2 linked regions of the Mus musculus genome follow. The protein of the gene in region 1 purifies or fractionates together with the protein of each later gene. This does not show direct contact. Links are inferred from orthologs where the notes say so. Each region holds a gene or a part of one and is shown on either strand. Other genes may lie near its edges. The genes, in order: Ctnnbl1 and Prpf19.

Region 1 (4,360 bases):
TACAAAATGACAGATTGAGTCTGTGAACAGTAGAGGAAGTGCTAACAGAGAGAATAATGAGGAGAGGTTGTGGCAGTTTGAGGAATAACAATTTTCTTATGTGTAGTTGGAGGTAGTTGAATGGGGTTTCTGGATGGTGTCTGTTGTAATCCCAGAAGAGGAACGCCTTGACTATCTCTCAATAATGGGCAAATTCCTTCCCCAGGAACCAACCTTTATATATATATAAATGTGTGTATGCGTGTGCTTGTGGGTCTGCACAGAGACCAGAAGAGAGCACCAGATCCCCCAGAACTGGAGTTACAGGCAATTGTGAGCTGTCCAGCATGGGTGCTGGGAACGGAAGTAGACGTCTAGAGAGCAGTAAATGGTTCTAAGCGCTGAGCCATGTCTCCAGACCCCCAGACCCTTTAATACAGCTTGGGTAGACAGGAGATCTTCCAGTTGCCACTGGGTCTTGTGTTAGTGAATACAAAGAAGCCTGGGGGAAAAAAACAAACATGATATCAATGGTTTCTCAGCCACCTATGGCCGGAAGCCATTTTGTAAGCCCAGGGGAAGCATAATGGGAACCCCAAAATGAAATCCACATATACAATTTCAGTATATCTACTAAGTACGCTTAACAAATGAGAGGAAAGTCAAATTCATTTCATAATATATCTTCCTTTACCCAGTAAGTGAAAAAAAAAAAAGGAACCAGTTCAAGTACGAAAAATCCACTGTGCATTTGATTAACACTTAACATCTTTATTAGGACTAGGCACACTTCAAGTGCCCCAGAGCCACATGTGACTAACTATGGGGCGCATAATTTCAAACCTCAGCTCCTTCCTCTCCCTCTTTCCCTCCCTCTTCTCTCCCTGTAGCCCTAGCTGTCCTGGAACTCGTTTCTGTAGACGAGGCTGTCCTCGAACTCAAAACATATGCCTGCGGAGCTCTGCCTGCCTCTGCTTCCCCAGTGCTGGGATTAAAGGCATTCAACACCACCAACAGGCCAACTTCAATTATCTGTGAAATGAGAATGAAAGAACAAAAGTGCCAGTCTCTGGAAGCTCTTTAAGGTTACCCACGAAATGCCAAGCACTCTGCTCTACTCTTGGATAACGGCCTCGCTTTTAGGTTCATCCCCTAAGTATCCGCCCCTTTCCCCGCCCCTTCAGGTTACAGGCGGAAGCAGAATTGTCAAAACGCGGCGCGCTTTACGGCAGCGCGTCCTTTTACGGCAGTGTGGCGGGCTCACCGGCCACGCGCTCTTTTACTCTATTGGTTCTGGGGCCTGGCGCTTTACGGCAGTGTGTCAGGAAAAGCCTCTGAGCGGCCCGTGGTTCGGGAGTTGAGTGGAGGCAACCAGGGTACCCTGTGCTGATTGGGTCCGGAACCATGGACGTGGGCGAACTTTTAAGCTACCAGGTAAGAGCAGTTGGCGAGGCCGGAGGGCTCCTCATCCTCGCTCGGGTAGCAGGGACAGAGTCCCGTCATCTTGCCTCCCCTCGGTCCCTGGCCCTCACTTCTCATGTCACCCGGGCTTGCATCCTGTCATTGCACTTCACTCCCCTAAGCCCTCTGGACCCTTTCGACCCCTTCCTTCTCCAGACCTGAGCCTTGTGATTTCTGTTCCCCACCCGGTAGCCCTCAGCTCCTCTTCCGTCTCGTTTCTACCAATTCACAGGGCTTGGGGAGACAGTTGTGAAGACCCCCGCCCCCCCCCCCCCCCCGGTGTTGAGCCTCAGTTTCTTTACCAAGTGTCAGTGTAGCTTTGGAGAAGTCTTTCTCCCGTCACGGAGTCTCAATTCTTCTTTTAAAATCTATAAAGTGGATGGATGTATGTGAAAGGTCATTTGAAAGTGCAGAAACCTGTGCCCACGTTCCCTGCTATTGTTAAGCTGTTTGGAAGACGGAGCTTGGAATGGGTCGGTAAGAGACCTCTCGACCTCCTTGCTCAGGGTGCTTGTGAGGAACGGGTGACCCAGAGAGAAGAAAGGACTCTCTTGAGGTCACTCAACAGTTACAAAGCTCAAGTGTCCAGACTCCCAACTCAGAGTTTTGTCCCTCTTTTGACTGCCTAACGAGGCTTCTTGTGTCCATCTTTGTTTTCATTAGCTGCAATAGGCGTTGGGACCCATAAACTGTAATTATTCTGAATTAGGAAGTACTGTAATTGTAAATCACACTTCATTTTAAAGACTTAGTATGAAAAAGGTAGTATTTTTATATTGATCACAGATCCTTGATCATATTGATTGAATATGTATGAGGCCATAATATGATGGAGCAGACTTTGGGTGATGGATGAAATAAAAAGTGGGTAAGCCAACCTTATCCACTTGCATTTTGTTCAAGGTGTGATGTTTTAAAAGTGATAGCTTTGCAGTCAAGAGTAGGCAGTGAGAACCTGTGAACTTGAGTTTAAAAGTGATAGCTCTAGGCCGGGCGTGGTGGCTCGTGCCTTTAATCCCAGCACTTGGGAGGCAGAGGCAGATGGATTTCTGAGTTTGAGGCCAGCCTGGTCTACAGAGTGAGTTCCAGGACAGCTAGGGCTATACAGAGAAACCCTGTCTCTAAAAAAAAAAAAAAAAAAAAACTCAAAAAACCCCCAAAACCAACAACAACAAAAAAGTGATATCTCTGCAGGCCAGAGTAGGCGGTAAGAACCTGTGAACCTGAGCTGTTAGCCATGGCTGCCTTGAATCTCAGTGCCTGAAAGTTGGGAGGGAGGCAGCGGCCAGTGGGTCACTGAGTTCCAGGCCAGCCAGGGGTACATACTGAGACACCCCACCACCACTACAATAAAATAAAATAAAAGGCCTGGATTTGGAGCCCCAGGTTGCCTTCCATGCCTTTTGCCTTACTAACTAGTTGTTGTAATCTTGAACAGATACCTCATGGTACCGACCTTATGGTCGGTTGTGAAGAAAGTTCTTCTTCTGGTAAGAGTCTGTTAAGAAGCTGGCGCCTTTAATCCCAGCACTTGGGAGGCAGAGGCAGGTGTATCTCATTGAGTCCGAGGCCAGCCTGGTCTACAGAGGACAGCCAAGGCTACACAGAGAGACTCTGTCTTGAAAAACCAAAAAATAAAAGCAAACCAAAATGAAAGAACAACAAAAAGCCTAGCTATGTCTGGTGGTTGGTGATTCACACCTTTAGTCCCAGCATTTGGGAGGAGGCAGAGGCAGGCGGATTTCTGAGTTTGAGGCCAGCCTCGTCTACAGAGTGAGTTCCAGGACAGCCAGGGTCTCACAGAGAAATCGTGTTCAGAAACCAAACCAAACCAAAAGAAAAGAAAAAAGAAAAGAGAAAAAAAAAGCAGTGTTAGGCCAATGTTTGTTGCAGTTAAAACAGCCCATAAATACTAATATTGGTAGTTATTTCCTTTAGCCAATATATACAACACTGACCCCGTAGATGGAGACTCCAGGCCTGATGAGAAAGAATACATTAAAAGAAAAAAAGGGAAAGAATACATAAGCAACAGATAACAGATGCGAGGCCATAATAGTTTTCTCTTTAAGATATGTAATTGGTGATGAAACAAGAAAGATGGTGGGAAGGTCACCGATGAGTGCTCGTCTGGGAGTTCTGGGCTGGCTAGTCCAGTCCATTGTTTCAGATGTGGAGCAACACTACCAGAAGGGGCCCATTCTTTGGTTACAGATATTTATTGACCATCTACTGTGTGCAATGCACTTGGTCCACTGAGCATATGATGTGGAAAGAAATGAGACAAGGCTCTTGCTTTTGTGTGAAAAGGCAAATATGGTGGGGGAGTCACCAGAGAATAACTAAGGAAGTAAACAAGAACTTCAGATGGCTGGACGTGTTGTGAGGGAGTGCAGCAGGGTCCGCCGCGGACATGTGAGCATACGTGGTGGCTGTTGTGCACATGGCTAGTGCACGTCAAAAGGGGGGCCCATCTGCATCAAGTTCTTTCTTATGTGTAAAGTGCACCCTGCATCTCACAGCCTTATTGTGGAAAGATGAAATGTCTTAATTTTTAAATATGGATTACATTTGATATACTGGATTAAGGATAATAGATTATTAAACTTAAATTTTGTGCCTACTTCCAAGTTTAATCTTCTATGTAAAGTTTGTGACTTCCACTGCATTTCTGTAGGCCAGCGCCATTGTAAATAGCTCCTTTTAGGGTCTCTGTAGACTGAGTGATCAGGGAAGGAGTCTGATGAGCCAGCATTAGTGCTCTGAAGGTTGAGGAGCCAGCATATGACAGGGCAGAATAGTGAAGGCAGGAGCAGCGACTGTGAGTGCAGGCCTAGGCCCATTAGATGAGTAGAGAGAAGAGCCGTGTAGCCCGAACTTGGTGAGTGAGCAGGACACCAGAAGGGGATGGAGCTGGAAA
Region 2 (4,362 bases), on another chromosome or scaffold:
CAGAACATAGTTACCATGCTTGCTGTGATTGGCAGGGCTAGGACATGTGGCCATTGCCTCTGTCTGTCCTGATTTCTTAGAAGGTTAGAAAGCTAGTTTTAATTTGCTACCATAGAACTCCATTATGACTGATACCATTTTAGTTTATTTACTTACTCTCAATGTGCCACCAGGCCTAGCCTATTTATTTATTTTACTGTGTGTGCTTGTGTGTGTGTGTGTGTGGGGGGGGTGTCTTGGGGACTGAACTCGGGTATCAGGCTTGGTAGCCGATCTGGTCCGGTCTTTAGTAGAGAAAACAAAAGAAGTTGGCAGGAGGCAGGGAACTGTTATTATAACAAAACACCTGAGGTAGGCTACTTTAAAGAAAAGAGGGTTCTCCTTGCTCAAATTTCTAGAAGCACAAGGTTCAAAGAGAATGACGTGGGCAATGTCTAGGGCCTCTTCCTTGCTGGTGTCACATTGCCATGGAAGTCAACTGGTTCATTTGTGCCTGTTCACTCTTTCTTTCCCTATATGAACTCCACCAGGATTCTTGTAATGTCTTATTCTAAAGATCCCACCTCTACATTCCACAGTTAAGCTAGATAGTAATGACACACACCTTTGATTTCAGCACTCAAAAGGCAGAGACAGGAAGATCTTTGAGTTTGAGGCCAGCCTTATCTGCAGACTGAGTTCCAGGACAGCCAGGGCTACACACACACACACACACACACACACACACACACACACACAAACCCAGTCTCAAAAAAACAAAAACAAAACCACAGAAAAACACCATAGTCGTGCTAACTTTCCACTCTTACTGTTTGGTTGCTTATTGAGACATGTTCTCTCTACACAGCTCTGACTGCCCTGGATTGGAGCTCACTATATAACCAGGTTGGACTTGTACTCCGAGATCTGCCTGCCTCTGAAGCCCAGTGCCTGTGTTTAAAGACTTCTGCAAACACACCCATCAAATTTCCATTCTTTTAAACGTACACATAAGACGCTGGGAACTAAATTCCCTTGAGTTTACAAAACAGACTATATTTAAAACGTAGCAGGCAACGAAGTCATTGGCTTGCCCATATTTCCAGAGCAAGAATTTAGGCAGTGTTAGTTTCTTTACTCATTTGTGCTTTATTTACAGGGTCACATTGTTTCTCAAAAGCCGGCCAAGGAACACAGGTCTCCGAATCATGCCTACAGACTCTCTAAGGCAGACTCTAGGAATCTGCACTTTTACAAGCTCCTGAAAAATCTGTCTTGCACACGACCATTTCAAAGACTAGTGTTCCCTAGGTGACAGCAGCTCCATCTAAAAAAAAAAAAAAAAAAAAGAGCCTTGGCGGTCCCCGCAGCCTCATGGGAAATGTAGTTTCTTCTCTCCTTCCCGCCTCAGGCCTCTTGGAGCGCTCGCCGGAAGAAGCCGAGCCAATGCGGAAACAGCCGAGTGTTTCGAGGCGGGCCTTTTCCTGCTCGGTTGCATGCTGGGAAAGGGCAGTTTCCGTTAGCTGCAGAAGGCTGAGGCGCGCCACCGGCCACCTCCCCACGTGAAGCAGTTGTGCGAGCATCGCCACGCTGGGCAGCTGTCTACCCGCGTCCGAGCGCTCCGGAAGCGGCGGGGGACCGGAAGTGGCCCGCGGAGGCTGCAGAGAACCGGGAACCCTCTGTGAGGCGACTGGCAGCAGCGCTACGACGGCGCCATGTCCCTGATCTGCTCGAGTGAGTGCTGGCTGCGGCGGGAGGCGGGAGCGTGTGTGGCCCCTGTGGCTCGGGCCCTGGAGCTCCCGGCCCTGCGTGCAGGGTGCATTTGCGCAGGGCTGCGCAATTCACGTAGCTGGGAAGAATGACTGTCTCAGGGGTCTTTTGAAACCGGCGTCGTTTTACAGAGCTGAGACAGGCCTGAGCAGAAGTGGGGGGGAGGAGCTGGTGCAGTGAAAAACAGCTCTTGGTGTCAAAAAACCCGAGGACATGCCCAGGATCCGCCTCCAATTGTGATCTGGGCTCTAGCGGGTTTGGGCCTCAGTTTCCCCATCTGCAAAATTGAAAGCATTGCAGTGGGCATTGCTTGGGAAACCTCGCTTAGGAATCGGACTTTCCGATTTGCAGAGATCACGCAGTGACTTCGAGACAGGGCTGGAAGCCAGGTGTCTGGCTTCTAGCCTCGCGCAGTATGACTAATGAAAACAGCGAATGTTTAGAAAACCTGTATTGATTTACGATGCATTTCCAAACGGTGATCTCATTTTATGCTTACAAGAATTGTCTGAAGGGAAATAAAGATCCGTGAGTTACAGAGGGTGTCGGAAGTCTTGAAGAATGGGTTTACCTAGGGGTGTGCGAGGAAGCTAAGCAGTGGAGCTTGGCTCTTTGAGCCTGGATCCATGGTTTTCCCGTGCACTATGCTGTCCTGTCTTGGGGTGTTGTATTACGGCATTGCGGGTGTTCTCCCATATTGTTTACCACGTTACTAGATTCCTCGCCTTCTCTATTTCCCTCTCAGAACGTTGCCATTAGTTCAAAGAAGGAAAAGGAGGAGGGAAATGACAAGCAGAAAAGGAAATCTCATACTAGAGAAATTGCAGTTTGCAAAGTATTTACAAACGATTTGTTTTCTTTCCATCTTTGAGACCACACTCTTACGTGCCCAGGGCTATCCTTCCTCTGGTAGAAGAGGGAAAGCTCCCAGAAAGCTTTAGTCGTCGAGTAGTGTGATAAACCAACAGAATAGGACAGGAAGGCCGTGTACAAGATACGGGTTTTAAATATGGCACAAATCCATACTTAATAACACATGCATGGGAGTCCTGCAAAAATAGGTGATTCTAAGAGAAGCCACGGAGAAGAATAGGAGCTTGAACCTTAGGATGGTGACTCACAACCTATGGGAGGCTGAATAGAATTGTGTGGTGAATAAGAGCTGTTTTGTGATGTGACAAGTCGCTATCTTAGAGCAGCTTTCAGAAGAGTCTGATGTGGAGGTAGCTTCCACTTGTCTGCTAAAGTGAACCAGTTGACCCTGTTTAGGGGAAGGTAGAGAAACAAGTCTGAGAAGGTCAGAGAGACCTTGGTTTTAAGCCTGCTTTTGGGGCCTTCATTTCTTTATTTTTTATTTTGGTAGTTAAGCATGCTCAAGGCTTCGTACTTTGGAATATTCTTTTCTGGGCCCCGGGACTTTTGCACTCATTTACCCTGTTATGATGTTTATCAAGTGTCAGCTTAGTATCTGCATTGTCCTGGAGGTCAGTGACAGCTGTAACGGCCATCTTCAAGGGTACACAGACTATTCTGTCAAGCGCTTAGAATAGAATCTTGCTTGGCATGTAGTAGCAGAGCTCTTTGTTTGCTTGTTTTCATTTTATCAGTACTTGTCACGTTGCTTCGGAATTTCTCCTGTTGATCTGTCTAGGGCTCCCACTGGATGACAGGTTTGAGTTGTGCTCTGTGTGCTTCTCTGTCCATCTCGGTTCAAAAATGAGATGGGCAGGACTTACTGACCACTCTGTACAGTACTGGCACATAGGATCTGGGCAGTTATTATTTATTGACTTTTATTATCAGCAGACCAGAGAATTTAGCTAAGTAGTTGGCGAGCATTGTAGGACCAAGTACGGGCAGGCTTGCTGTCACAGACCTTGCTTCCTGATAGCTGACTAGGAGGACATGGTCTTGTTGGGGCTGACACAATGAAGAATCTCCTCTGCCCACGTCTCCTTTTCTCCTGTGCTCACTCTCACTACCTGTCTTTCTCTATAGTCTCCAATGAAGTGCCAGAGCACCCGTGCGTGTCCCCTGTCTCTAATCATGTGTATGAGCGGCGACTCATTGAGAAGTACATTGCAGAGAATGGCACAGATCCTATCAACAACCAGCCTCTCTCAGAGGAGCAGCTCATCGACATCAAAGGTGCCTGCCCAGTAGCCTCAAGTCCAAGGCCAGCTCAGCTCAGCCTTCACCGGTGGGGGGTGGAGCCAATCTGGTGGAGAAGATGGTGGCTGGGGGTGGGGGTGGTGGGGGAGAGTTCCCTGGGTTCTAGTTCTTCATACCTACTTTGCTGCCTCTCTTGGCAGTTGCTCACCCAATCCGACCCAAGCCTCCCTCCGCCACCAGCATCCCAGCCATTCTGAAAGCCTTGCAGGATGAGTGGGTGAGTTCTGTGAAAAGAATGCACCTCTGGGCTAGGACCTGGGGATTGAAAAGATGGGGCCTCCCTCCTCCCTCCTCTCCCCTCCCCTCCCCTCTCTCTTCTGTGTCTGGGTCTTTGGCTTACATGTATGACCGTGTCTGGGTCTTTGGCTTACACGTATGACCGTGTCTGGGTCTTTGGCTTACACGTATGACCGTGCATTACTTATGTGCCTGGTGCTTGGA

What was found.
Region 2: the proteins of Ctnnbl1 (region 1) and Prpf19 purify together in Homo sapiens (affinity purification with mass spectrometry; 4 studies listed by BioGRID and IntAct, counting the BioPlex papers as one, with this or other methods). This does not show direct contact. The link is inferred for Mus musculus from reciprocal best matches to the Homo sapiens genes CTNNBL1 and PRPF19.

Annotation. Positions count from the first base shown.
Region 1 is NC_000068.7:157,736,147-157,740,506, forward strand, and holds the start of Ctnnbl1 (beta-catenin-like protein 1), read left to right. Parts: upstream 1-1,254; 5' UTR 1,255-1,383; coding exon 1,384-1,413; intron 1,414-4,360. UniProt on the Homo sapiens protein: Component of the PRP19-CDC5L complex that forms an integral part of the spliceosome and is required for activating pre-mRNA splicing.
Region 2 is NC_000085.6:10,893,756-10,898,117, forward strand, and holds the start of Prpf19 (pre-mRNA-processing factor 19), read left to right. Parts: upstream 1-1,475; 5' UTR 1,476-1,694; coding exon 1,695-1,713; intron 1,714-3,747; coding exon 3,748-3,897; intron 3,898-4,061; coding exon 4,062-4,138; intron 4,139-4,362. UniProt on the Homo sapiens protein: Ubiquitin-protein ligase which is a core component of several complexes mainly involved pre-mRNA splicing and DNA repair. Required for pre-mRNA splicing as component of the spliceosome.